Linked DNA regions of Drosophila melanogaster. The protein of the gene in region 2 interacts with the protein of the main gene of each other region in a pairwise test. Each region holds a gene or a part of one and is shown on either strand. Other genes may lie near its edges. The genes, in order: hoe1, CanA1, CG10943 and NaCP60E.

Evidence for each region.
Region 1: the proteins of CanA1 (region 2) and hoe1 interact in a two-hybrid assay, tested with the Drosophila melanogaster proteins (one large-scale study listed by BioGRID).
Region 3: the proteins of CanA1 (region 2) and CG10943 interact in a two-hybrid assay, tested with the Drosophila melanogaster proteins (one large-scale study listed by BioGRID).
Region 4: the proteins of CanA1 (region 2) and NaCP60E interact in a two-hybrid assay, tested with the Drosophila melanogaster proteins (one large-scale study listed by BioGRID).

Annotation. Positions count from the first base shown.
Region 1 is NT_033779.5:4,927,999-4,935,343, forward strand, and holds the start of hoe1 (hoepel1), read right to left. Parts: upstream 4,387-7,345; 5' UTR 4,095-4,386; coding exon 3,916-4,094; intron 396-3,915; exon of another isoform or gene 196-395; intron 1-195. Other genes in the region: hoe2 (hoepel2), read right to left, coding at 5,287-5,961, 6,014-6,340, 6,398-6,786, 6,842-7,187, 7,265-7,345.
Region 2 is NT_033777.3:31,036,476-31,047,153, forward strand, and holds CanA1 (calcineurin A1), read left to right. Parts: upstream 1-2,898; 5' UTR 2,899-3,073; exon of another isoform or gene 3,074-3,509; 5' UTR 3,510-3,663; coding exon 3,664-3,835; intron 3,836-5,068; coding exon 5,069-5,400; intron 5,401-5,488; coding exon 5,489-5,600; intron 5,601-5,802; coding exon 5,803-5,948; intron 5,949-6,005; coding exon 6,006-6,223; intron 6,224-6,283; coding exon 6,284-6,377; intron 6,378-6,641; coding exon 6,642-6,767; intron 6,768-6,913; coding exon 6,914-6,995; intron 6,996-7,242; coding exon 7,243-7,320; intron 7,321-7,579; coding exon 7,580-7,664; intron 7,665-7,729; coding exon 7,730-7,827; intron 7,828-7,915; coding exon of another isoform or gene 7,916-8,071; intron 8,072-8,128; coding exon of another isoform or gene 8,129-8,305; intron 8,306-8,365; coding exon of another isoform or gene 8,366-8,515; intron 8,516-8,570; coding exon of another isoform or gene 8,571-8,630; intron 8,631-8,819; exon of another isoform or gene 8,820-9,086; intron 9,087-9,590; coding exon 9,591-9,916; 3' UTR 9,917-10,346; downstream 10,347-10,678. Other genes in the region: CG33920 (uncharacterized protein), read right to left, coding at 7,916-8,071, 8,129-8,305, 8,366-8,515, 8,571-8,630. UniProt on the Drosophila melanogaster protein: Calcium-dependent, calmodulin-stimulated protein phosphatase which plays an essential role in the transduction of intracellular Ca(2+)-mediated signals. Many of the substrates contain a PxIxIT motif and/or a LxVP motif.
Region 3 is NT_037436.4:12,860,172-12,866,558, forward strand, and holds CG10943 (uncharacterized protein), read right to left. Parts: upstream 2,750-6,387; 5' UTR 2,641-2,749; intron 2,587-2,640; 5' UTR 2,548-2,586; coding exon 1,621-2,547; 3' UTR 1,546-1,620; downstream 1-1,545. Other genes in the region: CG32107 (uncharacterized protein), read right to left, coding at 1-558, 627-1,113.
Region 4 is NT_033778.4:24,890,074-24,897,426, reverse strand, and holds the start of NaCP60E (Na channel protein 60E), read right to left. Parts: upstream 5,814-7,353; 5' UTR 5,590-5,813; intron 5,144-5,589; 5' UTR 4,879-5,143; intron 3,344-4,878; 5' UTR 2,858-3,343; coding exon 2,821-2,857; intron 1-2,820. Other genes in the region: Ance-5, read left to right, coding at 6,516-7,353. UniProt on the Drosophila melanogaster protein: Mediates the voltage-dependent sodium ion permeability of excitable membranes. Plays a role in processing of olfactory information during the olfactory avoidance response.

The DNA.
Region 1 (7,345 bases), on a different chromosome or scaffold from region 2:
TAGGAACGCTTAATGCAAAGGAATTGCTTCTTTTTGGGCCCGCCTAATGAGCAAAATTATCCCGAGGTAATAAGAAACTGGAAATACGCGTGAAACAAAGGAAAAATTTCCATAATTAAATGTGCCTTTATCTCCTTTAGATTGTCTAGCGACCTGCTGCAGCCACAACCCTGAACTTTCCAAGAAAAGTCTCACTTGCTTAAGAAGTTAGATTCGATGATAAGCTCACTTTAGGTTTGAATTACTTTTTTTTTCTCTTGTTGTTGTTTTATGCCCCTATTGTGCACTCGCTTGTTTGATTACTATTTATTTGTATAGCTATTGTTTGCCACTCGAACGCGGATTGCCGGACAAAGTCGCACGTCCGTTTCGAGCGAAAGTTGTAAACTGAATAAATCTGCGGACTCGGCGCCGCGTTCCTAGTTATTTCAGCCGGTTACTGCCGATTCCGATTCCGATGCCCATCCGATGCCCATCCGATGCCGATCCGATGCCATGCAGGCGTAGCTATAGCTACTTATTCCGATACTCATGTTGCTACTTCGTGCGGCGCCGAAGTCGCAGCTGTTTTCGGTTGAACGGCGCATTGAAAGCGCCGCCGAGAATTGAATGGAACTTGGCTGCTTTCAATAGCTGTTGAATGCCTCGAGGTTTTTTTTTCAGCTGGAATCGCTCGGATTCCAATGGCCAACAACTTGAACTTGCGTCTTTTAGACCGGCAGAATTTTAGTTGTTTATTTTATGAGAAGAGTGCTTTAAAAGTATCTCACGCACAACTAATTTGTATCGGTGGTTAATTATAGCTAATTATTATTTTATAGAACCTTAAGTCACTTAAGTCTAATAATAACATATATATTCGGTTACTATTGGTTACCTTTGTTTCTGTCTAATGTCTTGAAAATATTTTGTATTCAATAAGTTATTATGGGTGGTGAATCTGCAATAAATACATGTGATTCACACAATCTAATCATTTGTTTACTCCAACTTAAGTCTGCTCAATTAATCGGTAGACTTAATGCTATTCAGAGCTTAGAAGCCACGAGCAACCGGTCGAGCAATTAGTGCGAATTTAAATCACTTGTCATACAGCCCAAAAATAGTCATGGAAATGAGACGATACAGCATTTACGAGTATGTAACTAAGAGAATCACGCCGAAAGCTCTCGAGGCTTTCTCAGAAACGAAAGTGAAATCTGCAGAAAAAGGCAGCTTTATCAAATTTAAGGCCGTCCGCTTGTTTATTTATAGGCCAAAGTTGATAAATCCCACTGAAGCTTCCAATTCCGACAATATAGACGTCCACGCGCGGTTCCATTTGCATGTGTGGTTTGTGTGCCACATTCTCGTACGTTTTTGTATCTTCTGTATGGGCAGACAAAAGGCGAGTTTATCAGCAAACAGCTTCTGCTGTGCCCCAACTCAATCCAAATGCGAGACCCAATCCGAATCCCAAAAACCCTAATGCCACGGACAATGAAACGCAAACACACTCCAAGGAACTCAAAGTGAACTCGTGTATATATATATTATTTCTCGCCACGAGCCGTTTGACATTTGAGCGACTTTAAAGCTGGAATATTAATGCTCTTTTATTCCGCAATTTTCCTCACCCACATTCAATAAGACGATGGCAATAATAGTAATAATAACGCTGATGATATCCACAGTGAGACGCAATAGGTGTGTTTCTTCCAATAACAATTGTATCTTCGCCCAAGGTCTCTGCGGCTTATCCATCTGAATAATATGGGGCATGGGTGCAGTTGATTCGGAGTTATATGGGTTAAATGCTATCAGCAGTTACTTTCTCTTAACATTTCCGTTCTTAATACATTAATATAGTTGGTTGAAAACTGTAATACCACATAAGCCAAGCTATTGAGTACATTCCATTTCATAATAACAACTAATACATAATTCATTTCCACTCAATTGTGCCTCAAAGGTTGGCCCCCATAGAGACACATAGTACATTCCAAATTCAAGCCGGAACTTTTACAGCCCCTAAGCTCATCCCTTGGCAACCAGAAAAAGTGTATTTACAGTTTGTTGGAAAATTGTGAGCGGAAAACCCTCATGTACAGGGATAGTTATTCGCACCTCCTTCATGCCACCAAGCTACCCACCCAACAAACCATTGACAAGTTTCCACACATATCTCTACATACATATATGTATGTCATCGTGGGACCACCAAACTTGGGTTGCATGTTCCGTGGAGGGATCACGTGGTTCTGGGTGGACTTGAAACTACTGAATGACTTTTCATTTGCTTGTCAGAAAGTCAGCGTAAAAATGGGCAGCCACATCAAAGTGTTTAGCTGTCAGTGCGAATAACTTATAGCCCATAATCCCAACTGTATTTAACCCTTCCCTCTTTTCTTTAGTATCCATAAACTTTGCCAATTGGCCAACGGCAATTATCGATGTGTTAGCTGTAATTACTTGGTATCAGCCAATGCAAAAATGCAAATTAATTGCAACCAATATGCATACAGTACTTAGTGGATTCTACACATGGTCAAGACGTAGATGTATACAACAAATGCTCAGCGTGAGTAAATAAACAATAATTATGTAAATAACGAGCGCTTATATAATAAGCTAAGCTCACTTCAGGTTTGATTGTCAAGAATATGTCAAATGGAAACAGGGTGTCCCGGAAACTAGTTATAAGAAAAATCGTTAAGTTTATATAAATATATCATTTTCTGTATGAAATTCTGTTGCTTATTGTACATATTTTGTTGTTTATTATTCGTTGTTTATGAATGCTTTATAATGCTCCCAAGTATGTAAGTCGACTCCACACACCCTGTATATTTATGAGCAGCCTTCTCTATTGCAACCAAGTGTAACTGCGCTATAAACCAGAGAACTCAGTGATTTACCGTCTCGAGTTTTCCCTTTAATTGTTAATTAACAAGGCGGAACTTTTAATTGAGGACCAACTGCGTATGTAATTCGCATTACCCTAGGTTTTCACTACACCGATAATTTTTGTGTGGGAGTGAGTGCACTAATTTGAATACGACACTTAATTCGAATGCTTAACTTAATACAAAAAAACCTACAAACAGCTGCGGAGGCTGCTGAACCACGTATTTGCCAACGGAAATAGAGAACTATAAATAAAATAATATAATGCAACGCAAGTCAATATTTATTCCCCATTGTTTATTTATAATCTCCACATTGCACTGCGTACTTCAGTTTATTTTGCACGTGTCCAAGGTATTACATTATCGATTATAAGCAACCTATATCGAATGGTAGTTCCCAGAAGCGAATTGCTCGAACAAAAGATTGGCTTGGATTGGAAATGGGTATATGCCAACTATTCTTCGAATTATTCACACAAATTGCATACAACAATACCTTCGTGCCTGGCATTTTGTTATAACCACAAGCTAATGGAAAAAATCCCTAACAAAACAAAAACATGATTAATTCGGATTAGGAGTATCATTTCAATCAGAGTTTCGAAGAAAAGCGCATTTATTACTCTGCTGGAATTCCAACGCATATGGAGTATGAAATATACAAACTGCTGTGTCTGCTTCAACTAAAAAACAAATAAATTGTAATCAATCTCAATGGAAACCATCTGTTGCGGCTCTCAGCGGCTTAAAATCCACAAAATGTCCTCGAGTTGATTTCATCTCGGAAAACAAACAAGTCGCAACCAATGGACCGTTATTAAGAAGCTTAGCAGGACATTAAAAGGAAAAGTTTTGGGTCCATCATCTCCTGCAGCACAATTTAATGCCAGGCTAATGAGAAAACGGAACCGGGCAAATAAACAACTCAAACTTCGAGTGGCGGTGGCCAACCGGGCGTATACTTAATATCAATATAAGCTGACTTGCATGGGCCACCCGCGGCGTATACTTGATGCGGCCGACTTACCATTTGCTGCGATGCTTGGCATTCAAGTGCAGCCAACTGATGATCTCCTGCAGCTTCGTCTGACGCTCCTCATCCTCATCCCGATCGTCGTCGTCATCACCCGGCTGCAGATGATACGGATCGCGAGTGTGGTCCGTTATCATAAAGGTGGGCTTACTGTATCCATAGGGAGATGTCATCTTGGTTCACCTTACAAAAAAAAAAACCAACTCGATTTCGGCGTAATTTCGTACGCTTATCACATTTTTATTTGGCCTGCAGGGCGGCCAGTCTGGGCCAAATAAGCCAATTTCCAATTTTCACTTTATTCCTTGGCGCAAATTAATTAAAATTCAGTCAGTCGTTGTCGGCACGACTTTCCCTCTCGCGGCTGCCATAAAACTGCTGGCAGTCTCCTCTCCACATGGCGGACAGGTCGGGTCCTCCGTTTCACCTCCTCCATTCGCAATCCCTCGTGGCCATTTGTTTGTGAACTTAAAATACAATTTACCTATGGAACGAGCGCTGTGGAAAGTGTGGAAAGCGCAGCAGTAGCAGAGCAAATAAATAGCAACAACCACCCGAGGAAATCCCTCGCTGCTTTTCCACATTGTCTTATTCTCATTTATTGACCAGCAGTTGTCTTCTTTCCATATACTATATGCTATATACTCGCTTTTAATATATATGTATATGTACATGCAAGCACTTTCATATGCGGATATTCTGGTCAACATTGAACTTGGCAATGGTCAGTCTCAGGAATTATTTACGTTTGTTTATGTTTTCCAAACCAAGGTGCATATGGGATAAACTAGAAAACACGAGAATTATGATATTTATAATTTAACTTATTATATGTTTATATTGTGCTTTGAAATCTCTAAAATACAGACATCGCTTCGAATTTTAAATGTATCTAAATACTTGTAGAACTGCCTCTTATTGAAATTTGAAAATCAAATCTATAATTTTCCTTCGTTTTGTATTTATGGCCTGTTGAATTTTCACGATTTCCCCACTTCGACCTTAGACAATAAAGTCTAAATTTATAACATTTCACACGACATTAAAAACACCGCCTTGATGGACTACCAAAAGTGATTTCCATCAGTCCAGCCAAATTCCACGAAGGCGAACGAAAAACCATGTGTACTTTTATATTTATGGTATATTTTTATACATTTGCCAATCACAAATGAACGCTTAAATATAAATATTCTTATTTTATATGCCAAAAACACATGAAACACATCAAGAGGCGAATGTAAAAGGACAAAGACTACAGTAAAACTCACACAAAAAAACACACGATTAGATTCGAAGTGAAAAACATTTTCCATCATTAGATACAATAATATGTTATTCAGTATGTGTATTAAATAGGGAGTCTCAATGCCATTCAAAGACCACATGCGCCACCAGTAGATAGACAGTCATCAGGGTGATCTGTCCCAGCATCATGGGAAAAACTGTTCTCAGATATCGGGTGAAGGACAACTTATAGCCATGTTGCTCGGCAATTCCGGCTGCAATGACATTGGCTGATGCGCCATAGAGCGTTCCATTTCCGCCCATCGAAGCGCCCAGGGTCAGAGCCCAAACCAGTGGCTGGAGGGGCAGTCCCAGCGATGGCTTGGCCACCAGAGAGGTCACCAGCTTCACCATTATGGCTGCCACCGGAATACTATCCAATATGGATGATGCCAGCGCCGACATCCATAATATCATAAAGATGGCCATGGCCAGACGATGACTCTTTCCCACCGAAAGGATAACGTGCTCGGTGAGCTCACTGATGCAGGCGAAGATTCCCAATCTCTCCACGCATTCCATCATCACGAACATGGCGGCGAAGAAGAGCAGCGTGGTCCACTCGATGCGGTGCATCAAGTGCTCCATGTCATCGCGATTGAGGATGATCAGCAGCAGGATCACACCCAGCAGGGCCACCCAACCCAGGGGTAATGTCCTCCAGTGCGGCACGGATTGGATGAAGAAGCAAACAATGACGAAGAGTAGGGCTCCAGCGGATTGCAAAAGCAGCGTCTTGTTTTTGATGGGGTACTGGAAATGGATTGCTCAGCTATAAAGATCCCAGTTCAGTAAATCCACTTACTTTCTGCTTGAGCTCGTCCAGCGTATTCGTATAGACCTCCGTGGAGCCCACACCTTTTTGCAATCTTCTAAGGGTCCTTTTCAGTTGCTTAATCTTAGCCTGGAGCGTTCCCCTCACCAGCTGGGCATCCTTGGAACAGGAGGCCACTGCATTCAAGGCTCTCTGCCACACCTTCATCTCCCTACGCAGCTCACTCATCTCCTTGGGCTCATTGAGACGCAGTGCATCGATATTGTGATAGAAGAGGCGCAGGTACACACAACTTTGAATAACTGCTAGAATGACACCTGGAAATGTGTGGGCCACAAATGTGGGAAAAGTTACATCCTGAAAAGGTAGGGGAAATCTATATAACAGCTTGCATAACCTATATGTTATACCCACATTATCCACAATAAAGTGATTGGTGCTGACTATAATACTGATGGGATCTCCGATGGGCGTCAGGGCTCCTCCGATATTGGCATGCACTATAATGCCCATCACCACGGGCAGGGGATCCAACTGCATTACCTCGCACAATCGGATTGCCACTGGGGTCAGGAGCAGCACGGTTGTCATGTTGTCCAGCACACTGGACACCAGGCAGGTGACCAAACAGAGACTATATATCATGGGCCAGATCTTGCCACCCGATATCTCGAAACAAAATACGGCCAGGTAGTCGAATACGCCAGTTTCAGTCAGTATCAAAATGAGCAGCATCATGCAGAAGAGTAGAGTCAGTAGCTCCATGTCCATCCACTGGATAATCTCATCCATATTGGGACGATCTGGGGAATTTCAAATAATTAAGAAATGAAGAAATACCCGGGTTCTGTAACCAACCATTAAAACAGGCTAGAGTCGTCACCGAAAGAATGGAACATATCATGGCCACAAAGGTTCTTTCGAAGAGTTCCCAAACAAGCAGTGCATAGAAGATTAGCAGGATTACACCAGCCAGGATGCTCCCTGTCCTGGCATTCACTATCAAGGGATTATAGTTCAGAACAATGGCCAAATCCACCTCCACATCGCTATAGATATGCAAGCGAAATTCGCTGTTCTTTCCAGCCAACATTTCATCTAACTCCTGAGTCATCTGGTAGGTGCGATTGGTGGTCACAGCCGGAGCACGCAGCATCAGTTCCTCCTCGGAGAGCAGTGGTAAACGCCACGCTGGAAGTATATCCTGAAAAATCCAAAAAAAAAAAAGCTTACATCTTGCCAACTTTATATTCGATTGTGCAGTAGTTATGTAATACTCACCTGGAACACCTGGCTGTGATTCTCGCCAATGTAAGTGGACACCTGTGGCTGCACAGTCAGAAATCCAAAGCTCAAAGTCTC
Region 2 (10,678 bases):
TGCTGCCAACTGACAGCAGGAAAACAAAGAAAATTGAGAAAAGGTTTTCCCGGCGCTTATCTATGAGCGCTGAGCGCCCAAATAAGTAAGTCAATAAATCAATTCAATAAAATTTCTGCTGCCTTTTTATATTTGAAGTTTTTGGCTCCGGTTTTTTTTTTGCCAAATCCCAAGCAAACAAATGTGAGCGCAAAAAACTTTCGGCCTGGCAAATGTTTGGCACTCAGAAGGGAAAACAATGAAATGGTGCAGAGGGGCTCGGGAAAGGGTCAAAGGTTAAGAGGGAACGAAGGCTTGGACCAGAAAGATACATAAGCACTGATAGCTGAAAAGTTTATCAATTTGTAAAACGACAGCCGCAGACATAAGGAGTTTTCCCCCCGGAAAAGTGTGGGAGCAATTTTTCCGAGCTGAGCCGTTCGTTTTGAAGAAAAGAGCTTTTCGTCGGGGTTTCTGAATCTGCTGAGCTTTCCACACGGACATTCGCCCCAATTTATTTGCTTTGAAATCAATGCAAATAATTAATTTAAATTAAGTGCTGGCCCGGAGGAAGTGTTTGCTTTGGTGCTTCCTTCTGCCAGCCATCGAATAGCCCACAAATCGGCCATCATTCACACATAACCCCATGCCTGTGGTCACATAACTCAAATGAATTGTTTATACAGCGCCAGAAACTAAACAGCAACAGCAACAGCAACAATTGCGATTGCGATTGCCGAAAAAGTTGAAACAATGAATGAAATGTTTGCGTTGCGTGTCAATATTATCTTTTTATTTCACTGCCGTTTTGTTTATGTGCAAAAAGAGAGAGGAAGCGCCGTTTGGCTTTCTGCGTGCGAGCATAAAAAACATTGTTTTATAAATACTCGGCCAGTGCGCGGCTATTGCTATTTTGGCACTTCTATTTTGGCCATGTCCAACGCAGAAAATGTATATCAGCCCGAAGACTAAGTGACATGCCGACATGACGAAACGGGTGTTCAAAGTGTCAGGCGCGAAATCTGTTGAAATGCGAACAACTTGACTCAACTTGACTGGCAAATTATTTAGCAAATCCCCAGCGTTTGCTCTAGCCATGGCGATCGGCTAGTCTCTAATTTAGATAATCTTGAGGTGAATCAATTGCGGGTGTCGGCCACTTAATCTCGGCCAGCTGACCGCAGTTGCCTCGCCTCCTAATTGCGCCTAAAATGCGCTGCCAACGGCATTTTGGGGCTATTTAAATAGCCGCAGATCGGAAACACAAGGTTTTGATGTAAAGGGAAGAGCAGTACGATGGTTGGTTAACTTAATCGTATGTATTTGCAATAACTCTAATTTGCAAACAACTATTCCACGCACTCAGTGTTTAAACAATAAAGTAGAGTAGTAAACCATACTTAAATACCTATTTAAATGCCAGCACAAACGTATGATATTTTTGAAACATATTAGTGATTGAAAATATATAGTGACACTTATTGAGCTCTTCTATTCCTCGGCGACACTTTCGAAAGTTAAATACCCCGTATTGCCATTGGATACCCCAAGAAGGATGGGGGGCTGGACTGGGCTGAGCTGTCAGCGCTTTTGCCAAAATTTCGCGTTGGGAATGCAATGCTCTCATCGGTCCGCCCATCGCACCCCGCCGCACCCCTTACTGAGCACTTACAGCCCCCTCGAATCCAATCCCACCCACTGGTTAGCACCGGAAAGTATTTCTTTCTAGTCTGCGGCGGTCGTGTGACTCGCTTTTGTCTCTCTGCGACTTGCGAATACGCGGGGGCGTCCAAGTAAAATCGTCTCCGCTCTTTGCCAAATCGAAAATCCAAGTGCCATCGATGCGCATTTGGCTGGCAGCGGGTGCATTGGCATTGCAATGGATTCCGATTCGGAGATTCCGAATGTGATTCCGAGTGCCCGAAATCGGGCGATCCATCCTTCCCAGCATATATTATGGAACTGTCTGTCTGTCGAGCGATATAGCGCTTCCCCAGCCAAATCGTACTACATATCAATTGACCATCGCGACAAACAACATTGACGGGGCAAAACACACATATTGTTTGTGGCTGTGTTTTTTATGTGGCCATCCCCATCCCCACACAGATAGTTGCGCAAATATTGCCACGCTTCGCATAAAAGTTGCATGAAATCGGTTCCACCAGCGAAGCATTCAAATGAAAAGCAGAACCGCGAATGCGCTATCAAAATATATATAAAAATCAACTTACTATACTATATTGAATGTACTACCCAAAAAACTGTATTTATTTAAATTTAAATCGTTAGATAAAAGCTTTTGATTTCTTATGTTTTTTAATTTTTTTTTTTTAATCAAATATAAATCTTATCCGAACCGAAACACCCCCTTTTAATTGTAGATCGCATATATTTTTGCACGAGGCGCGCACAAAGTCAAGACTATAATTATAGCGACACCCACCTATTGGCGCCCAATTTCTGGCAAACACACACTCGCGCTCAATCACACACAAACACACACACTCGGACGCACGCACACACAATCAATATCACGGTCAAGTTGAAAATCATTGAGAGCGGATGTGGACATGGAATGGGGCATGGAGGTGGAAATGAGGATGAGGATAGAGATGGGGATGGGGGTGGACATATCACAGATGTGTAAATGTCTGTGAAGGTCGAGCAGTCAGTCGCCCAGTCGACGATCGCAGAAGGGCAGTGATACGAAGAAGAGACCAGAGTGCGTGTGTGACATTAACCCAATAAAATAAACAAATAGATGGAACCCTACGAGAGCGTGGTGTATTCTTATTTATATTTTCATTTTCGGCGGAGAGTGGGAGTCAAGGGCGTGAGATCGGCCGATCACAGCCGATCTTCTTCGGGCTTTCAAATTGGGTCTTCTGAATGCCAAACGATGCCAGCGAATTTCGCTCAGTTTCGAGGAAAATCGCGTCGCGCCAACTTGGGAAATGCGTTGCGTCGTGTCCCGTGAAAATCATCGCGACTAAGGCCCCGAGAATCCCCAAAGGATTAGCCCGAAAATAATAACAATAATCGCAAGCGGCAAACGGCGAACTGCAAACAAAGTGTGACCAAAGTGATATATGTGTGTGCCTGTCTGGCCGTCTCTTCGCAAATCCATTGCTATTTTCGTTGTCGCTCGCTTTGTGGGCAATTAGCACAAAGTGTCGAGCAATTTTCCGTCTCAATTGAAGTGCTGCTTACCCTTTGCCAAAAGCATCCGTTAAACAATGTGATGACTTAATGAAAAGTTAATACGTCTCTGAATAATTGCAGCAAATTGAAATATTAATTGTTCAACATTTGTTTCGTGTGCGCTGCGGGCGAAAGTTGTCTCTATCTCGCTATATTGGCATTGCCTGGCTAAAAATACAAGAAAGTCCACAGCTATACAAATTATAACAACAAGTTTTATTTATTGCCTAAATATATTTGTGTGTTTTGTGCGCTTCTGTGTTGGTGTCTCGTCGTCCATAAAGACGCTAGGCAAAGGCGTATAATTATCTAAATTCCTGTGTTAGTAACACTTTCAGCACCAGCAAACAGTCAAGCCATTAAAAAATATATATCGAGCTAAGGCATCGCAAAAATCAGCACCAACAGAACGCAGAAAAATTAATAAAAAAAAATAAAAAATTTAACAAAAAGCAGGGGCCGAATAAATAATCAAGCATCATGTCGGCGACCTCCACGCGAAGTTCGGTGACGAGGAAATCATCGCTATCAAAAAGTTCTAGTTCAGACAAATCGGCAAAGTCCTCGTCGAATTCCTCGAAATCTCCGACAGCCGCCAGTGGAAACAAACAGAAAATGCAGTACACAAAAACCAGGGAGCGCATGGTCGATGGTAATGATCTCTACTCTCTATAAGCACTACGGACCCCAATCAAGCATTATCCCAAGCACGATTCCCTACTGCGATTGTATCTTTAATGACATGCGATCATGCTTCAATGGCATTCCAATGTGCTGACCGCCGTCATTAATGTCAAAACTGAGGGTTTCACAAATTATTTCCTTTGAACATTTCAGTCGGCGGAGGCAAGCGTTTCGAAAAGTGTGTTTTGAGAATTGGGAAGTCATGCTTGTAATTTTCAAAACAATAGCATGGCTGCACCTTCTCGAGGAGCAGTACATCGATCGTTAAGTTTTCATGTTTAAAAACTAATAAATGGACTTTTGAAATGGAAACAAACATAGAAAGGAAAACATTTTATAGCTCATGTAAATTTATCTAATTTCAAAAAATGTTCTTTGAGCAAGTTTCAATCGATTTATTTTACAGACCATTTTACAATGCATAATTGCTTATTATGCGCATTATTTATACATAAATAATTTACAGATTTTTAATAACCCATATATTCCGATGCAACTGCCATAAATGTGCTTTTATTAATCAATTATTCGGCATCGTAACTTAAAACCCTTAACTGAAAATGCGGTACTCGCTTTTGTTCTTTGGTTTATTGAGTCCATAAAAATTAATTTAATTATCTTCGAGCACCCATAACAAGCAACAACTGCAGTACATTGGCATTTTATTGGCCATTGCGTCAAAATTCAAGACATTTACCCAAATTATGACAATTAAAAATGGCGTTCGCCCTGACGTTTCGATGTGTGTGTGTGTTCGATTACGTTTGTTTGTTTTGTGTGTGCCAATCAATTTTCGACTTTTATATTCACTCAGTCAAATTTTGTAATTAGCGTACGAATCTCATGTGGCTGCATCTGGCGGAATTTCGGTTTTCTTTATAGCCGGGCCAAGAAAAGCGGCCAAACCGAATGAATATTGGCGCTAAGTTGCAGCACCTCGTTAACCCACATCGCCGTCGGACAGCGATGTTTATTATAATTCTATCAATGCAAGACTACACCGAAAAAAATTCAGGGGAACTGTAACAATACGAGAAACCCCATTTTCAAAGAGATGTTCCATTCACGTCATATAAGATACAAGATACAATATATAATTAACAATTGAATCCAGGGGCTTCTTCTTCTGGAAATGGGTGATAACAATTTACTTAATAATCTTTACTTAATAATTTGATTAATTTCTTTGTTACTCCCCTAGATGTTCCACTTCCGCCCACCCACAAGCTGACCATGTCGGAGGTATACGACGATCCGAAGACCGGAAAACCCAACTTCGACGCCCTGCGCCAGCACTTTCTGCTGGAGGGGCGGATCGAGGAGGCGGTGGCCCTGAGGATCATCACCGAAGGAGCCGCCCTGCTGCGCGAGGAGAAGAACATGATCGACGTGGAGGCACCCATTACCGTGTGCGGTGACATCCACGGGCAGTTCTTCGATCTCGTAAAGCTCTTCGAAGTGGGCGGCCCGCCGGCCACCACTAGGTACCTTTTTCTAGGCGACTACGTGGACAGGGGATACTTCAGTATTGAGGTGGGTCCATATGAAAATTGTATCTTAACTTATCAGGAATATATACTGCGTTTTCCATTTTTGTATTAAACGGTCCACTTAATTTCAGTGCGTTCTCTACCTGTGGTCCCTGAAAATAACCTACCCCACCACGCTTTCCCTGCTGCGAGGAAATCACGAGTGCAGGCATCTCACAGAGTACTTTACCTTCAAGCAGGAATGTAAGTTGGACTTAACTGAAGTTAATGCCAGAATTTGCTAGTTATGAGAAAGTTGATTTGTTTCCCGTTGATATAGATAAACTACAAAATGAGCAAACCTGCATGCCTCAGTCACTTTACGAACTTAATGCGCTTTTAAGTGCGAATATGCATGCTATAAATCTCCTTCCGTCGCTAATTCATTAATTTTTCTCTGTTGAAGGCATCATCAAGTATTCGGAAAGTATTTACGACGCCTGCATGGAAGCGTTCGACTGCCTGCCCCTCGCCGCCCTCCTCAACCAGCAGTTCCTCTGTATTCACGGCGGTCTGTCGCCCGAGATTTTCACACTCGACGACATCAAGACGGTAATAAAGCAGCGCTGAAATGTTTACAATATAATGCATCTGTGCGGATTTTCTCAGCTGAATCGCTTCAGGGAACCACCGGCCTACGGGCCCATGTGCGACCTGCTCTGGTCCGATCCTCTGGAGGACTTTGGCAACGAGAAGACCAACGAGTTCTTCTCGCACAACTCGGTGCGCGGGTGCTCCTACTTCTTCAGCTACTCGGCCTGCTGTGAGTTTCTGCAGAAGAACAACCTGCTGTCGATAGTCAGGGCGCACGAGGCGCAGGATGCGGGGTAGGATCGGAAGTACCATGGTGTAATATCCATATGATTATCGAACTCCTTCCGCTTCAGGTATCGCATGTATCGGAAGAACCAGGTTACGGGCTTCCCCTCGCTGATCACCATATTCTCCGCCCCCAATTATCTGGATGTTTACAATAACAAGGTATGAGATAGTTCCACCTCTCTCCCTCTGCTCACCCTGCTCACCCTATCTCTTTCTGGGTTGTTTATTTATCTTGCTGTTGTTGTTCCTGACTTTGCTATTTTTAAATAACGAAATCTTTTTTTGGCTGCATTGCGAGCTGGTGCGAGTTTAAATCGCGCTGCGTTCGCAATACCCTCTCTTCCATCTCTTTCTCCGGCACTCGCCCCGTCTCTTTCTCCGCTCGCGCTGATTTTGTCAACCATCGAACCCATTTGACAAAAGGCAGCTGTGCTCAAGTACGAGAACAACGTGATGAATATCCGCCAGTTCAACTGCTCGCCACATCCCTACTGGCTACCCAACTTCATGGACGTCTTCACATGGTCGCTGCCCTTCGTGGGCGAAAAGGTGGGTTCGCACCCAATCGGGTGGGATTATCTATGTATTTTGAGTTCAGTGATGGAACTAAGCCATAATACTCGAACTAGAACTTTCAAAAGTGTCTGAAATCTTTATACGTGATTTTAATATCCAATTTACCATGCCATTCAAAGGTAACCGAGATGCTAGTCAACATCCTGAACATTTGCTCAGACGATGAACTGGTGGCCGGACCCGATGACGAGCTCGAGGAAGGTAAGTTTGGGGATCCACAGAGCGATTCTGTCCGTACTAGACTGTGTGTCAATGTCGCAGTGCTTTGGATGTTGTGGGGCCAATACGGATACACGTGAATTACAAACTAATCTTCTATTAAAAATATTTTCCGAAACCAAATATCGAAATACGACAACTGCAATCTACTACCAACACCCATAATAATTTCTGTACCAACACCACCACCAACTTTCCACTCAAAACACGTCCAAAACACGACCAAAAGAGCTACGCAAGAAAATTGTGCTCGTGCCGGCGAACGCGAGCAATAATAACAATAACAATAATACGCCCAGTAAGCCAGGTAAGCCAGGTATTAAACGCAGGCCCAAAGTGAAGCCAAACAGTACCGCCAATGCAAATGCCACTGCCATTGCCACTCCCACTGCCAAAAATAAAAATGCCTGAGCCAACGAAAATCGCCTGAGCGAAGATAGCGAAAAGCTTAGTTATTGCCTTGCGCCCTGCTTTGATCGGCTTTTCAGCGAGTTTTCCAGCTGATTACCATTACATTTACCCCGTGACCCCGCGAGATTCCGTCTAATCGAGCCCTCAATTCGCAGCTTCCATGTCGGCGCTGCGCAAAGAGATAATTCGGAATAAGATTCGGGCCATTGGCAAGATGTCGCGCGTCTTCTCCATCCTCAGGTGCATAATGCCTCCTATAATCCCGTGGATTCAGCTAAATAATTCAATATTCCCACATCCCGCAGGGAGGAATCCGAGAGCGTGCTCCAGCTGAAGGGTCTGACGCCCACGGGCGCCCTGCCAGTGGGCGCTTTGTCCGGCGGAAGGGATTCCCTCAAGGAGGGTAAGTCAACACACATAGGTATTCTCAGGATCAAATTGATGTAATGCGTGTAGGGACTTTGAATTATAACATATGCCTTATAAATTAATCAGGATATAGTTCCGTACACTTTGACCACAGCCCTCCTTATGTCGTAGGCCATCCAATTTGTTTCGTATAGGTAATCCCCTTCAGGAACGGGAAGGACCTTTGTCACCTGGTGATTAACGAAGTGTATGGGTAGTTTTTCGATCACGAGATCGTGCTGTATAGAAAACCAGAAACATAAGCACAGATCGGATTTAATTAGGGATATACGCACATCGTAGGGGCAGTTGTGATTCATGTTGGTGAAGGGCCTAATGAAATCATAAAGGTAACTGGCTATCGGGTTCGACTTTGTGTTGTTCATGAATCTACATGCATCCAATGTGATATTGAACATGAAAGGTCTATAGCCATTATATCCATTAAATCGTTTGAGAATTACTCCGTTGATCTGAGAAGAGTAATTGTAGAAGAGAAAATGTTGTTAACCAAATTATTTAAATACCTTGACTTTGGTAATTGGCGTTTTAAATAATTTTGCTTTGATCGACACATACTTGTAGCTACGATTAACCGACTTTATGTAGCAATACTCAAAGTCGGAAAACTGTTTATCCAAAGAATTGCACATGATATTTGTGAACTCAAATTTCGATGATATCTGAGGAAGATTTTGAATTGATTCGTATTATACCTAATATTTTAATAACTCTTACCTCAACTATTGAAATTGAAAGAGCCAAAAGCGCCACTAAACCACAATGATTTACACCCATCTTTCGATATCGACTAACCAGTGTAAGTTGTTTACAGAACCCTATTAATATTCTATTGAATCAGCAACATAAAAACAATTTACAAAGCAATTAATAGCTCCACCAAGCCAGAAAATCATAATGAACCCACATTATAATGAGTTTAGTATAGTTTTTGTTATCAAAAAAAATAGTTTTTAGTGTCTACTAAAATACTTTCACCACAACTCAGTCGATGTCGTAGGCAATCCAGTGGGTTACCAGTTGGTAGGCTCCTTCGGAAAAGGGCAACTCCTTTGTTCCTTAATGGTTTACAAAGCCAATTTCCAGTTTCTCCACAATCAAATCGTGCTAGAATCGATCAATTTCGAGTTAGCCAACACAAAGTGTTAGGACCTACTCACACCTGCAGGCATCCACTGTGACATTGAACATGAATGGCTTATAGCCGTTGTAGCGCTTGAAAAGAATGGCTCGATTAAATCTAAAAGGAAGACTAGTTAAAAGCCATTACAATTCGATTTGTAGCGAGTTTTAATCTAGATGTTTGCTTGAATATGGTTTAATTATTTGCCTATCGCGGCCAATTAAACAGTGCTGATCGCAGACCAGCCATCGTTTTTATACCCGTTACTCATAGAGTGAAAGTGTTTCTCTGGCAGGAGATAATATAAATTCTTGATCAGGATCAATAGCCGAGTCGATCTGACCCTGTCCGTATGTCCGTCCGTCCGTATGAACGTTAATATCTCAGGAACTATAAAGGAAGGTTGAGATTAAGCATAATCTAAAAACCGAATATAACCCGTCCACAACATGGCATATAATCGGGGTAGTCGGCTATAGCATGCTGTCTTGTTACTAGATAACTAAGTAATAAACCTTCCTGATTAGTTTAATCGAAACTTTTTGCCAAGACACTGCCACGCCGATTATTAATTGAGCTGTTTCCCATCCCCGTCCGACTCTATGAACCCTCAGCTCTGCAAGGACTGACCGCATCCTCGCACATCCACTCCTTTGCGGAGGCCAAGGGCCTGGATGCGGTCAACGAACGGATGCCGCCCCGTCGTCCTCTTTTGATGAGTGCCAGCAGCAGCAGCATCACCACGGTCACAAGGAGCAGCAGCAGCAGCAGCAACAACAACAACAATAACAGCAACACCAGCAGCACCACGACGACAAAGGACATCAGCAACACCAGCAGTAATGATACCGCAACCGTAACCAAAACGAGCAGGACGACTGTGAAATCGGCCACCACCAGTAATGTGCGGGCAGGATTCACCGCCAAGAAGTTCCCATAGGGGGTGAAGCACTTGCCTGCTCAACACTGATTTCTATCATTTTCGTTTCGACCTTCTGTTACCCATTTAAGTTTACACCTCGTTAGGGTAAGGTCAGACGTGGCCATAAATTAACGCAAACTGTTGCCACATTCTAATTTCGACACAAAGTTCTGATAACTTCTCATATGAGATAGATAAACATGATACTAGGACACTAGCTTGCGCCAATTTATTTCAGTGCCTGACCTTAGCTGTAGTTAAAATTTTATACAACAACTTTCTCTAATGCTAGTCATAAACCAACAAATTGCACCCTGCGATTGCTGAGCTTTCGATTGCAGGTGCATACTTATAGAATCTCTCCGCAAAAACTCCCGGGCGATATTAGCAAAAATTTATAAGTGACATGAAAAACAGTTTAATAAAAGGTGGCTACAAATAGCTAAACAAATGAGTGCTTGATACTTCTTTTGTCTATCTAGTTTTTGAGAAGGGAAAAAATAAAATAACTTAAAGCAGAGACTATGTGTTTTACCTTGGCTTGAACGGATAAGTATGGGTTTAATCTAAAAATTGCTGTACCCAGCTATGTACTTTAGGTGCACTTCAACTTCACATCGCTTGAGCTCTCTAGTCAAGCGTAAAAATCAGCACGACCCGATGTAATAATAATTAACTAAATGCAAACAGAGGGGAATGAACGGGTCCAAAAAGCGCGTCACTTGCAGTGGAAGTTTCCCCATTCCCCATATTCTATTCCAATTTATCTGTTTGGGCATA
Region 3 (6,387 bases), on a different chromosome or scaffold from region 2:
CTTTGAGAAAATCCTCCTCCTTTTCATTGTAATACGGATTGTCTGGATTATATTGCATGGGGTGACCCAGAATGTAGATATGAGTAAGTTTTCCGCTTAACGGCAAGTCCGAATAGATCGATTTATCCCGCAAACAGCACTTAATTGAAACCACTAAGCGAATGGATGCCAAGGCGATGGCCTCTGCATTGCTGACATATGTTTCCGGGATACATATGCTCTGGATGTGCTGGTGTTCTTGGAAGCGATTAAAAAGCTTCACAAGCGATCCCTCGAGATGCTCGCCACACAGAATTAATGACTTAAGTTGCGGCAAATTGGCCAGGGCTACGTACTCGGATGCATCTACCTCTTTCATCACAAAGCTCAGATATTCCAGTTGATTGCAATGAGGTACTATATCCGATAATCTGCCAAATATTTCGGAATTCCTTAGAATGAGTCTTCGTAGGTTTGGATTCAGTTTACACAGCTCGACCAGGATACTGGAATGCATTCGGACATTCAGCTCTAGTTTTTCTAGATGAGTGATCTGCGGCACGATCTCAAGGCTGAATCCTAAAAGCATTGATTTATTGATTAGTTATTCTTTTTTTTAAATTTAAATTTAAAAAATTTTTATCTACCATTTATGTAAACAGAGAGCTCCCTCAGTTTTGGCTTGACATGAAGCGATTTTATGAGGTCCTCAAATCTTTCCAAGTAATCACTCCAGTAACGTGTTGGTTCGTAAATTACCTTTAATGACTCCAGTTGTTCGTTATCCATAATGTGATTTTTGAAATTCATCCAGAACATTTTCTTTTCACTGTTCGACAATCCATAAATGTGCGAATGAAGATTTGAGAAATTAATCTCTACGCATATGTACGTATTGAGGAATGTGTTTTCAATACACAGCTCCTTATAAAGATTGAGACTCCATTTTTTGAACGTTCTGTTGAGATGATCACAGCAAATAGCAAAGTTTATAAGATCACTGTACTTTAAAAATATATCATTGGTTTGCTTGAATGCGCAGTTTTTGTGAATTTGACGAAATATTTCATATAAACAGTAAGGATTTAAGTTAAAAATCGTTGTTTTTTCTTCTAAACCAAAATATTCCATCATCGTTTCAAATTTGGCGCTAGCCATTCCCTCGAACAGCTAATTCTCACTGACTAACCGCAAACGAAAAAAGGTTTATTTTGGTTATTCGGTTATCTTGAATGATAAGCTGTCAAATGTAATAAAAAGCAAATTCTCTGGAACACCTTGTCTTTTGTATCAAAGGCTAGATAATACAGCTCACATTTTTTTATTGTTACTATTACCATTATCTAATTGTAAGATAACCATTTATTGATGAAGTATTTGCACTACAGATTAGCAATATAAAAATAGGGGACTTCCCGAAAAAATCAACGACCGTTGAATTTTTTATAGTAAATTGAATAATGGGGAAATATTTAAACGTATTTGGGAATAGCGGTTTAAAGGACCTTTTTTCACGAGGGTGGCAGCACCGTCGTCATTGAAATTCCCGCATGATGGCGTCCCCTTGCTGACATAAAGCTGAAATGTACAACATTCTTCTTTGCGATATAAAAGTATATATGTTTTATTAAATAAATTTGTTTACAAAGCGTTGGAAATTTGTTGACCCTCTGATGGTATAAGTTTATGGGTTTCTTTCACTCTCTCCTGATTAGATTGCAGTTTCATTATGGTAGCAGCTTGATCGTTTAATAGCTCATCCTTTTCCCGCGTTTTACAAGTTTCCAAATTTAGACCCAATTCCAAATATGTGATTTGGTCATCTTTTTCTTTAATCTGTGCCTTATGATTTGCTATAACTTTTGAGTTTTCACCATTTATTTTATCTTTCTCCTTTATTTGAGCCTTGAGTGAAGTTATTATCCCTTTATTTTTTTCCAGTGTTTCGCTTTTTTGGCCTATCTGATTTTTGAGGGTTGCTATAAGAGATTTATATTCTTTCTCTTCAGAAATTATCCTACACATTTTAACGCTTAGAGATTGGATCATATGTTCGTTTTCAATATTTTTACTATCGCTTTCTTTCAAACGAGCTTCGAGTGTTGCTATAAGATCTTGTTTGTCCTTTAGCTTTACATCATTGTCGCCTATCTGAGACTTTAAGGACTTAATAAGTTGTGAGTTTTCTATTTCCGTTTTAGCCTTCTCTTTAATCTGCGCTTCGAGGGAAGAAATAAGTAACTTTTTTTCCTTTTCGCTTTCTTTAAAAAAAAAAATTGTTGATCTTAACTTTGATTTATTTTTGGTTGTCTCAAGATCTTGGCTAGAGTTTAACTTCGCTTTTCTTAAGGTTGACAATTCCTCCTCTAGTTTTTCAATTATGCTTGCCTGAGCATCAAATCTATCCTTATAATCTGATTTATAAAGGTTGTTAGACATTTTTAAGGCCTCAATTATCTCGTTTTTGTCCTTAATTTTATCGTCAAATATGGCCAACTTTTCGTTGGCAATTGCCAATTTAAATTCCATGTCTCTTAGCTTATTTTCAAGTACCATTTTTAAGTTCATTTTCGGTTCATCGAAATCGTTGCAGTCACAATAATTCGCCTAAAAAGATAAATGCTAAAATTAATGTTCTTCAAAAAGAAATACTATTTATACCTTCGAAAATGATTCTGTGTCATCTGAACTTAAATGCAATATAGCGCTTTTACTTCTTGAATTCATAGCGATAGAAAATATGTAGACCGCATTGGTTGGTAGGAAAAAGCGAACTGAAAGGTTCATTTAGGTTTTTTTTCTATAATAATCGAATATCTCCTGGTGTTACTCATTGCTTTACAATAATCTAATCAGGAGTTTGATTAAATATTGCACACTTGATAAGGTATAGCCTCAAAACCTCGGAATTGATTGAGTATTATTTTTTTTGCCCTGCAATCTCACAGCTTTTCCACTTTCCCAATTTTATCATATAAATGTAAATGATTTTTTATAAGAATTTTGGATTTTCATTAATTACGAATCCAGATCGTGGGTAACATGTAAAATGAATACAAATTGAATCAATTAGACGGCATCCGCTTGGAAATGAAAACCAAAAGATAAAGTCTGGGAAAACGGGGGCGATTGCTTCGGCCAAATACGAATTAATTTATTCTTTTCCATGTTCTTTTCGGCAGTTGGCCGTTGTAAAATCATTTTCCATTTCGCTGGCGTCAGAAAATGGCAGGAAAACAGGTTAAGTCGAGAGGACAAGCAGGTTCAACAACAACAACAACAACATCAACAAGGTAGGCAATTAAATTTATTTTATTTCTCCTTCCCGTTTCGTTTTTAAGTTTCTTAAGCAAGTGCTGGAAATCGTAGACAACACTTTCGTTTCAGGACGAAGCGGAAACGATAGGCAAACTTTGCTGCACCAGGATACGCAGCCCCTCAATGGCCCCGCCCACTTCCTCTTCCACTCACTCTTCGAATCCGTTGCTTTACATAGATAGCGGAAATGCTTGGCCCTGTTTTCGGGCCCTCTCGATTGCATATGCAGCTACTTTTATCGATTGGCTGAAGTTTGCACTCCTTGCCTATATACATATATTTAGGCCTCGTCCTGCCAGCTTTTGGTTCCACCTCCAACGCAATGTCATTGTCCCTGGTCGACTATTAACCCCTTCTGCAGCAATGACTATGGGGCAAGTACCCTTGGTAATATTAAATAGTCCATATCCGGGGCCAATGAACCGCAGTGAAGTGATTAGGCCCTTGAAGTTATCATTCAAAAGTATTGAACTATCTAGAACCAAAACAGGACTTAGTTTTATTTTTACCTTCTTACCTTCCAATAATACTAATTCTTCGATTATTAGTTTGATAATGTATATTGGCTCGTTTAATTGGCCATTCTAATATATACTTTTATTTAATTATTATAAAATATTTAGGAATATATTTTAGAAATATTCAATAAAAGAACATTTCTTCATTGAATGATTGTATTTCTTCTAGTGTTATAGTTTTAAAGAAACAATGTTATTTCTGTTTATTAGATATTTATTATAATATTCTTAATATTGATACAACTTGCTTTACATTTTCGCAATGTCTTTAAATTGAATTGCAAATAAAAAGTAGTGTTTGCGACTTCAGTTCACCCTTGAGAACTTTCCCTTTAGAACAACTATTTGCCGACTTCTAACGACAAGTTAGTCTCCTTGGTAGTCGAATTTTGCACCACATTCAGTATTTTCAGGCGTGAGGGTTGGGGTGCTTCCGCCACATAAATTTCCATCGAATTGGGGGTCGAAAGGATGTCGAAGGGGTGAAGAGGGGATGCGGGGCTGGCTGGTATCCGGCGGCAGAACGACGAAGCACGATTCGCTGGGGCAACAAAAACAAGAGTGGAGCCAAGCAGAAGAGCAGCAGCAAACTACTTCTAATAACGACAATCAACGCTCTTCGGGTTGTTTGGGTGCTGTGTAATTACATGACAGCAACAGCAACAGACAACAACAACAGCAACAACAACGGACAGCAACAACAACAGCAACAACAACAACAACAAAACAACAACAACTGCAATTGCAGCAACATTACGAATTACGATAATAATTTCCATTTCTAATTTCCTTGCCACGCAAAAGGCCTTTGCACTTGCCGAGGCTGCCAAGCTGCCGAGCTGAACTGCAATCAACCACCCACCCAACATAGAACATCCTCCGACATCCAGAAAGTGACAGCACCACCCACCACCCAACACCACCCACTGCCCTTTTTCCGGCAACAACAGGCTAAACAGACGGCCAAAAACACTTGGATAAAAAATACGATAAAAGGATATTAAGGGAAGATGAAAGATTCTTTGAATTAATTTTGTAATATTACTTCGATAATTTGATATATTTAATGAAAGCAAGCCAAAGAAATTCACTTTCTTAAGAAAGTTATATGAAGTTATATAATAATATATATGTACATAAAACATCTATGAAATTTAATATCAATGCAATGTAAAGTATAAATTAACATACTTTGTAGGTTACATAAAATAAAATTAACTTTATTATTCATATTAAATAATGTATTAAGTCTAACGATACCTACTTTGACGTATTAATAATAATAATAATAATAAATAAAATTCTCGTTTTGTTTCAGTGTACGCAATTGGCGAACGCTGGTTGAGGTGCTGGCCGTCGAGCCAGACGTTGGCATAATTTCGATGCAGAAATCTAACAGAATGCAAATGCAATCATTGACTTTTTAGCTTATAACGAAATAAGCGTCGTGTTTATTGGTTGGCTGAACGAGCACCAGCTTGGAATCTACCCCCCCCCCCACCACCACCGCCACTACACCGACCCCTCGCCATTATCCATCGCCTGGAAAAGTGAGGAAAATAGGAGAACATTGCCGGAACTGTGGGGAGTGCACTTATAAATTCAAAGCCTCGGCGGGGCTACTAAGTGGGTGGTGGTAACAACGGGTGGTTCCCGAGCAGCCGCAACTAAGAATTTCACACAATCTAAGCCTAAGTTGGCCAAAGTGCACAGACCAGATGTAGAGAAATTTGTTGTTGTTCCTAAACCATAAGTACTGAGTTACATAGAAGCTATTTGCAAGATACTAAATTTATATTATTATAGATTAAATGCTAAAGCTCTAGAATTAAACACAAACGGTACTTGAATCTTCAGAAGAAAAGTTATTTAAGAGAGAAGTAGGAGTAAGCTTCTGATTTCGCTTATATATAAATAAAAACTAAAAAATAAATACACAAATAAATAAAATAGTAAATCTTAAACTGGCGCTTAACTTAAATCGCTGTGCTCTTCTTAAATTCCGTGAATTATCTGGTCTAAATCTGCTGATACGCATAAGCCAAGTATATCTGGGCCCACACTTTGGCGCTATCTGCTCGACTTAAATGGGCTGAGCTTTTCACAGTGGCAGTGGAAAGGATATCGAGGATATGCGTTGTCGGTTGTCATCGGGCAGGTGGAAGTTGTATCCCTTTTTTCGTCTCACTTTTTCCAGCCCAGCAACCGCAGGAGCCGCAGAGCGAAATTTTCTTTTATGCCGCCACGCCCAGGATCTCCAAGGATTTTGCCATTGTTTTTGTAATTTGATAATGCATTTGATTAAGGAAATGAAATTTTTATTAAGGCTGTTTGCTCATTCGCGTCGCTGGCATCGCGCCTTTCTTTTATGATTTAACCACCCAAACCCCACATGCCATACGTGCGTGATGCCTTTTGGCCTTTTTCCCTTCGCATTTTCGCCATTTCCCACTTTTCCCCCCTTTTTTCCTGCGCATTTTCCCTAACACGGCAGTTTTGTTTTCACATAATTTCTTTGAGTGCGGTTTGGATCTGGGCACTTTTACGATGCGCAAAAAAAAAAACACAAATT
Region 4 (7,353 bases), on a different chromosome or scaffold from region 2:
TACGACGAACTTCCTATTGGCAATTCCTTATTGTTGGTCCAGACTTGCATAACGATTGGCCAAGGGTTGGCCGGGTTGGCTGCTGCCCGCTGGCTGCTCACTGTCGCTAGTCATTAACCCATTGATGGCCGTACCAGTGCCGGAAATTATCAATATAATTTTGTTTACCAACGCGAAGCAGTGGTGCCGCGGCTGTGAGGCAGGGAAGGAGCCAGTTACTGTTCTTTGGATTGGGCCAGGTCAGGTCGCCGTTTGGCGAGAGGCTCTCGAGCGCTATTGGGTTAAGCCTCGCCTGCAGCAACATCAAAAATATCTTGTCATGCCCCCGCGCTGCAACATGGGCAAAAGGCAACGCGCCGTGGGTTTTGTTCGCGCTTACATCAGCAAGATGTCCGACTGGCAGCGGAGAGAGGTCATGGCCACTGGCCACCCAACACCTCCAACTCACCCACCCACCAATCTGGACGCCCCAACAACCCCCGCCGCCATGCTTTCGCCGTTGATTAGCCACTGTTTTCATTAGCAGTGAGTGACTTGGGCCGAGCCAGCGAATCGGGGCCATCCGGCCATTTCGATTACGTCGCTGATTATCATTTCTCATCTGGCAGCTACGGAGCTAGGCAGCTGACTGCTCGCTCGGCAGATTCCATCACTGCCGAATAATTAATATACATTTAAACTGTTTCGGATTGTAAACAAAGCGGGCTTACATAAGGAACTAGCTGGGAGCAGCAAGCGGGACACCGACGCAATAATCTGTTGCCAATAAAGCCACATCGCCGGTCATAATCACGATGCTGTGCCGAATGAAGTTCGAACTGGAAGCCGCTGAGCTGGAGCAAATGGGCTGCACTCCAGTGCCATCAGAGCATCTTTCAATGGGGATTACATCTTCAGCTAGAGAGGGCCACGCTCACGATGATGAAGCTGCTTCTGCTGCCCCGGCGATGACGGCAATGACGATGGGCAACCGGTTGGCGGTCGCACATTAACATCAGATGCAACGAAGACGCACATCTTCCCCATATTGCATAATCGACCCGGGCTCGCGACTCGAAACTCCAGACCTGCCGTCGCATCTTCACGCGGAAGCAAAGTCATTCTCAAAGCGCCCAAAAACAAAAAGGAAATTGCACACCGATACAGAAACTAAAAGCAACTAGCGACGTGCAATGTCGTGGTTTTCCCAAAAAACCAGTTGCATCCACACACAGAGAGAAAAAGGTGTGCTACAAGTGATTCACGAGATTGTGGGCAACAGTTTTAGAATTGTGGGGAAAGTCTTGAAAAAGTCAATTCGATTTTCTGCTATATTATGGTGCTCTCTTGATACTCCTTATGTACTGCATGCTTTGCTTCGGATTTCCTGGTTTAACTTTCAAAGTTTGTTGTTTAAAGTGCAGCCATTGTTGCAGTTGCAACTGGCATTGCTGCCTCTGTTGCAGTTGCAGCTGCGCAGACCTTTGAGCAAGTTCAATGGTGACGGGAATGGGAATGGAAATTGAAATGGGATTGGGATTTGGACTCGGAGCGGAGGCTTAGGGGGTAGGGCAATTACGCCCCTCGCAGTTGGGGCGCTTGCTCTCGACTGCTTCCTGGCCCTGGCCAAAAACCAAATCCAATTCGAGACTGGCAAGGCGGAAAGGAAGGTGGTCGGTCCAAGCCCCAGCCCAAGCCGAGCCGAAGGAGAAACCGAAACACTGGCTGCAGTGATGCGGGACAAACAAAAGTGAAAAAGTGAATCGGTAGGATAAAGCGAGATGCAGCAACAATTGCTCTACATATTTAATTAGTTTCCGTTTCCGTTCATATTCGTAATCCGCAGATGGCAGCGCCTGCTGGCCTTTGTGCATTGTTCACCTCCCCAGTGAATATACTCCGCTGACAATGGCGCCCTGCGCCCACTTATCAACCCAAGGCCCACCCACTCACTCCTGCTGTAAGGACAAATGGCGCTCTCTATCGGCGCCTGCAAAAACGATTGCGTAACTTATGGCCAGTCATCAGCCGAAACTTTTCGGTCCGACAAAAGCGCTTCCCATTTTCGATTTGTTTATCATTTATTTAAACGGCCTTAGGGTCACTCTGCCCCGCCATTAAGCTGGTTCGATTCCATTTTCGTTTTATTGGCCAAGACCCAGGACACAGGACCCAAGTGCCCCAGACCCAAGCACATGCCCCGTATCCAAGGCACAACCGGCACACAATGAGCAATGCTATTTAATTATGTTGATGAGCAGGACCGGACAGCAGGACAGGAGTTCGGGAAGTGGCAGGAAAACGCTCAACACGCACAAAAAGGAAATGCCTTTGGTCCCCCCACCCCAACTGCCTTTTATATGGCACTGTGGGTGGCTGTTGAAGAATGTCAATCTTTGAGCTCATAACTTGACCTGCTAGTTTATTCTTAAGCCAATTGTTGGTTTCAGGGATAAAAATATGCAGAAGTGAACTTAAATAGGCCGAGAAATTAATAAAATTGTAAAAAATAAAACAAACTTGCTCTCTATGGAAAGAAGTCGTGCAACTCCAGTCAAAAGACTTCTGTGTGTGCAGAACCACTGTGCACGTCTTTCTTTTGGTTGGCGTGCAGGTGTCGCTGTCAGGATGTCGGAGGACCTGATTGAGGAAGGAGAAGGAGCAGAAGTCCTGCCCTGTGACACCTGCCCCCTGACCATGCATACTCCCGCATACAGATTTGATGGCCTCCCGGTTACCCAACTCCCCCCTGGTCACATCGGGAATAATATTTATGAGGCCGGGTGGCTTAGAAAACTATCAATAGCAGTATCAGGAGGGCTTAGCGGTTAGGGGACTCACCTTTCTCATCGTTGAACGTCGCTTGATCATCACTCATCTTGACTGATTGTCGTCGTTTTGTTGGGTGCTGCCTCTGGTTGCGGTTGCTTCTTGGTCCTTCGACTCCGTCGTCGTCGTCGTCCTGGGCGAGGTCCTTAGGGCAGCTGCATGCCTTGGTCGCGCTCTCTTTTGCCAGGCTTCTCACTCGATTTTCGAACACTGGGCATATGTCTATCTCACTATTCAAGCGAGTCGATCGCTCAGTTTACCGATTATATTGTCACCGTTCCCTTTGTTAACCATGTTGTGCCTAGTATCTACTATTGCTGTTGCTATTGTTGCTGTGCTTATCACGCTTGGGGCTTTCATGATGTCTGCTGCTATTGCTATACTATGCAAATCTTATGACTACGACCGTTTCCAATAATGGCATTTGGCATCGTCCCAGCTCAGTTGCTCAGCCTGGTCGTCTACTTCTATTGTGAGCTTTGGCTTTGTTGTGCTGATTATTGCTTTACATTTTGCGATGCGATGCGTATGTTTTCTAAACGAGAGAAAGAGATTGATGTAAGTGGAAAGATTTAAGCTTATGCAAGTAGGGGGAATGAGAGTAAATTAAATCGCCTCTGCCCGCAATTGCTCTGCGTCGTGTCATGTAACGTTAATTGGCAGCGCGCTAATCCCCTACAGCTCAAAGCACCCGAACCAAGGCACGCGGCTCACACTCAGAAAAAATCTTCAGATTGATGACCTTAAAATAAAAAAAAGGTGTCCTTTGAACACATACGATTATAATTTCTCTTCATTCTGCCAATTTTTTTCAAATACCAAGCCTTTTTATTTCACTACTACTACTATACTGTGAATTAATACAAGACAATCGAAAAGAGGAACAAATGTACGGATTTGGTTCCGTGAAACAAAGATAGCAGTCAGCACTCAATGGGGACTTCCTCAAGACTGAGAAAAACCTTTCTGCCAGTGCAGTACGTATACGCAACGTAACGACTCACTCGGCCAACGTATGTGTTATGTGCGTAACGGAAGAGATAAGCACCTGAAGGGGAAGAATGCGAATTGTGGCGAGGGCCGGGAAATGAGTGCCGCTTCAAGACTTAAAGCTTGAGCGAGATAAAGTTAATTAACATTATGGGCACACCCATACACACAATCTAGCATCTTCTCCACAGACGCACACAACACAAGTAAGATACAAGAATTGATAAATGGCGCCCAACGAAAAAGCAATGAGCTTGCGTAGGCTGTGGCGTGGGTCGGGGGCTGCTCATTGCTCAGCGCTTTGTTGATGCTGCTCCCGGCATTGTTGTGCATATATGGGCATGTGTATGGGTGTGTAGGTGCTTGTGTAGGCCGGCGCTTCCTGTTGTGTTTCTCGCAAACTTCTTGACACGTCTGCGAGCAACTGGCAACTCGCAACTGGCAGCAAAAATGGAAAAGCGGTAGATGAAGGCGCCCATAAAATATTCAATATTAAGTTTCCAACACCCCGTTATGGCAGTTGATGTGATGTTTGCTGGCGGAAATTCGCTGGCAGTGGCAGGGATGTGCCATTACGCCTGGAGGCTGGGCTGTCGTGTGCCATTGGAGATCCACCTGCATTTGCTGGTCTGTCCCAGACACACACAAATCGGCAAAAACACTTTTATTACAACAATGAGAGCGGCGCTCGAGGCATTAAGCAGTGTGTTGTTGGCTTTCAATTGTTCGGTGGGGTCTTTCTCTTTGGGGCGGGGATACTCGCTTCTGTTTCTGGTTTCTGCTTTCTGGGCGTGACCAGCGGTTGGTTTTAAAGTTGGCTCATAAAAGTGCGGCTGGCAGAGCTTTGCCAGTTGGCCCCTAAAGTTGTGCTACGAATTTTGTTATCGGTCCCCTTCCGCCATTTTAGCTCTCTCCTTCGTGCGAACAGAACGAAGCGCTTCGAAACGAAGAGAAAGTGTGGCCACCTAGTTAAGTGCACATCAAGGGCTAATTTATGACCAGGACATTGCTGTTGCGTTGGAACCCAAACTTCCCCCCAAACACTAACACACGCACACGCGTATGAATATCCGATTTTACCTTTAAGCATTGGCCATCAATTTTTTTTTATTCTCCGCTGGTTGCAGTTGTCGGATGTTGGGGATGCTAGTTGGGCTTTATGTAATCGCTTGTGTGTTTGCACTCCGGCAATTTCTATTTCTATTTTCGTATTTTACTTTCTTGGGCCTGCAACACACGAACACAAAGCACATTTGCACACGTTCGCCTTCACTCGCACTTTAACATCGACTTCCCAACACTGGCTCAATCACCATTCCCGATCCAGTTGTTTTTTCTCCTGCTGCTGTTTTATTTGATTTTATTTTACATTAATTACATTTTTATTTAGTCGCAACTGTGCAACAATGTGACTGTGAGTGGGTGGGGATGTTGAAACGGAACCAGCAACAAAAACAGAACAAAGCAAAAAACTTCGGGCACGCACATTGTTTGACACACGCACACACACACATGCAAAAGCCTACTGGCAGTCTAAGAAGTGTTATTACAATTTACTGTTGATTTCTTTCGCGGCCCAAAGGGTGAGTGCGAAAGAGATAGCACGGTGGCCTCTCTGGCACCGCACGTGTGCCTGTGTGTGTGTCAGCAAAAGCGTGCGAAAGAGCGCGAAAATGTAGGTTAGTTTCCGTCGTGGCCTCTCCCCCTCCCTTAAGCAACTCAGTAGCAGCAACAACAATATGCAGCACACATTTCACTCTATTTTTGGGCGCTGAAGAATTTTCATCGCACCGAATAATGCACTTGTGATGGTAACGCGCTTCACTGTGCGGCTGTAGGGGTGCGAGTTCCGCGCTATGTTCCATGCCCTTTCAGGCTTTTTACTGCCTTTCACTTTTCACTTTTCACCATATTCCTTGATTTTTTCACTTCATACTAGGACACTATGACACTGGGCCACTGTAAATACGTGCGCTTGCATGGCGACTGCTCGGTTCTAAGGTTTGTCGGAGACTGAGCTCGGCTAACGGGTTTCCTTTCCGTTTGACGTAATCTGCAGGGCGACCACGATGCAGAGCGATGAAAAAATACACACGCGAACTTCCCCCTATTCTCTCGAAAAGGACTCGTGCGGGAAATGCTCTCACGCTCGCCTTCGTGAGCAGAGTCCCCCTGCGCCCTCACGTTTGCTTGTAGGTCAGCCGGCATAAACAAATGCCGTGCCACATGCAACACGAACGACGAACTTCCCCATATTTCTCCGATTTAAATTCCGAATGCTCCGCTGGTGCACCGCGGGGCAAAGGACTACCTCCGCTGTCTCTTCTTCGGAAGGAATATGTCAAAATGATTTTGCTTGAATATGGGCCACTGGCTAACAAAACCAGCAGCTGTTAATCAGTCTATTATGGTGTAAGGATGTCTTCCCCGCCGTGCCCACTGCGATTTCCGCCTCGGGCTGGCACACTCAGCGTATAAATAATGCCAAGCTCGTAACGTATACGCAACGTTTGCTTGGAGAGATCGCTAGCTGGGTTTCTTTCCCAATTACAGATAAGCTCAATGCCCCGGACTTAGATTGATAAGCCTGCGGCTCGACTGGCAGTCTGGACTCAGTTCTGCTCGAGCTTTCGTCAGAGTCGGAAGCAAATCCCAAGTCGCATTCGAAAGCACTCCGATAACCTTATCAAGGCGAAACGGAAGCCAGCGAAGGCAAAATGCGGTTGCCTTTTTTAGGAGTATCGCTAATCCTTCTGCTCTCCGTGACCTTCGGAATCGGCCAGTCCAGCTATGAACTGGCTACCAAGCAGATACTTGATAGAGCCAAAGACCGCATGCGCCACGTGTGGAGTCTGAACCGCAGGATCTTTGTGCAGCTCACGGCCAAAGGAAAGTCACCTCTGGGCGGACAGGTTCTCAACTCCAAGCTGGAGGTAGAGGCGGAGACCTATCGACTATTTTACGACTTAGCGGGCAATCTCAGCGTTGTGTCAGTGGCTGAATTGAATGACCCACTTCTTCGTAGGCGCGTGCAGCGAATGGCCAAGTTGCAGCTGCAGGGACTGCGGCCAAAGGACTACGAGCAGGCCAAGGACCTTCTACGTCAGATCCATAACTTTGTCAACGGACCCCTGGTCTGCCCTTACGAGGACTGCTCCGCCCGTGGTTCGCTGGCCATGTACCCGCAGATCATGAACAAAAACATGCACACCAAGCTATACGAGGATCTGGTCATCAACTGGAAGGCCTGGCGCAGGGCCATTAACGAGAAGGACGTGGCCAAGAACACGTTCATCGGCTACGTTAGGCTTCTCCGGATCGCTGCCACTTACAACGGGCATGTGACGCCCTCGCGCACGTGGTACCTTAACTACGACACGGAGAACTTTCAAGCTGAAATGGAGGCGGTCGTGTGGGAGATAATGCCGCTATATCGAGAACTGCACGCCTATTTGCGTCGCGAGGTGCAAGCTGCCTACCCAAAGGCGGACACAAAGAGCGATGGCGCCATCTCCGCTCCCATTATGGACCAGATCCTGTCGCAGGACTGGTATC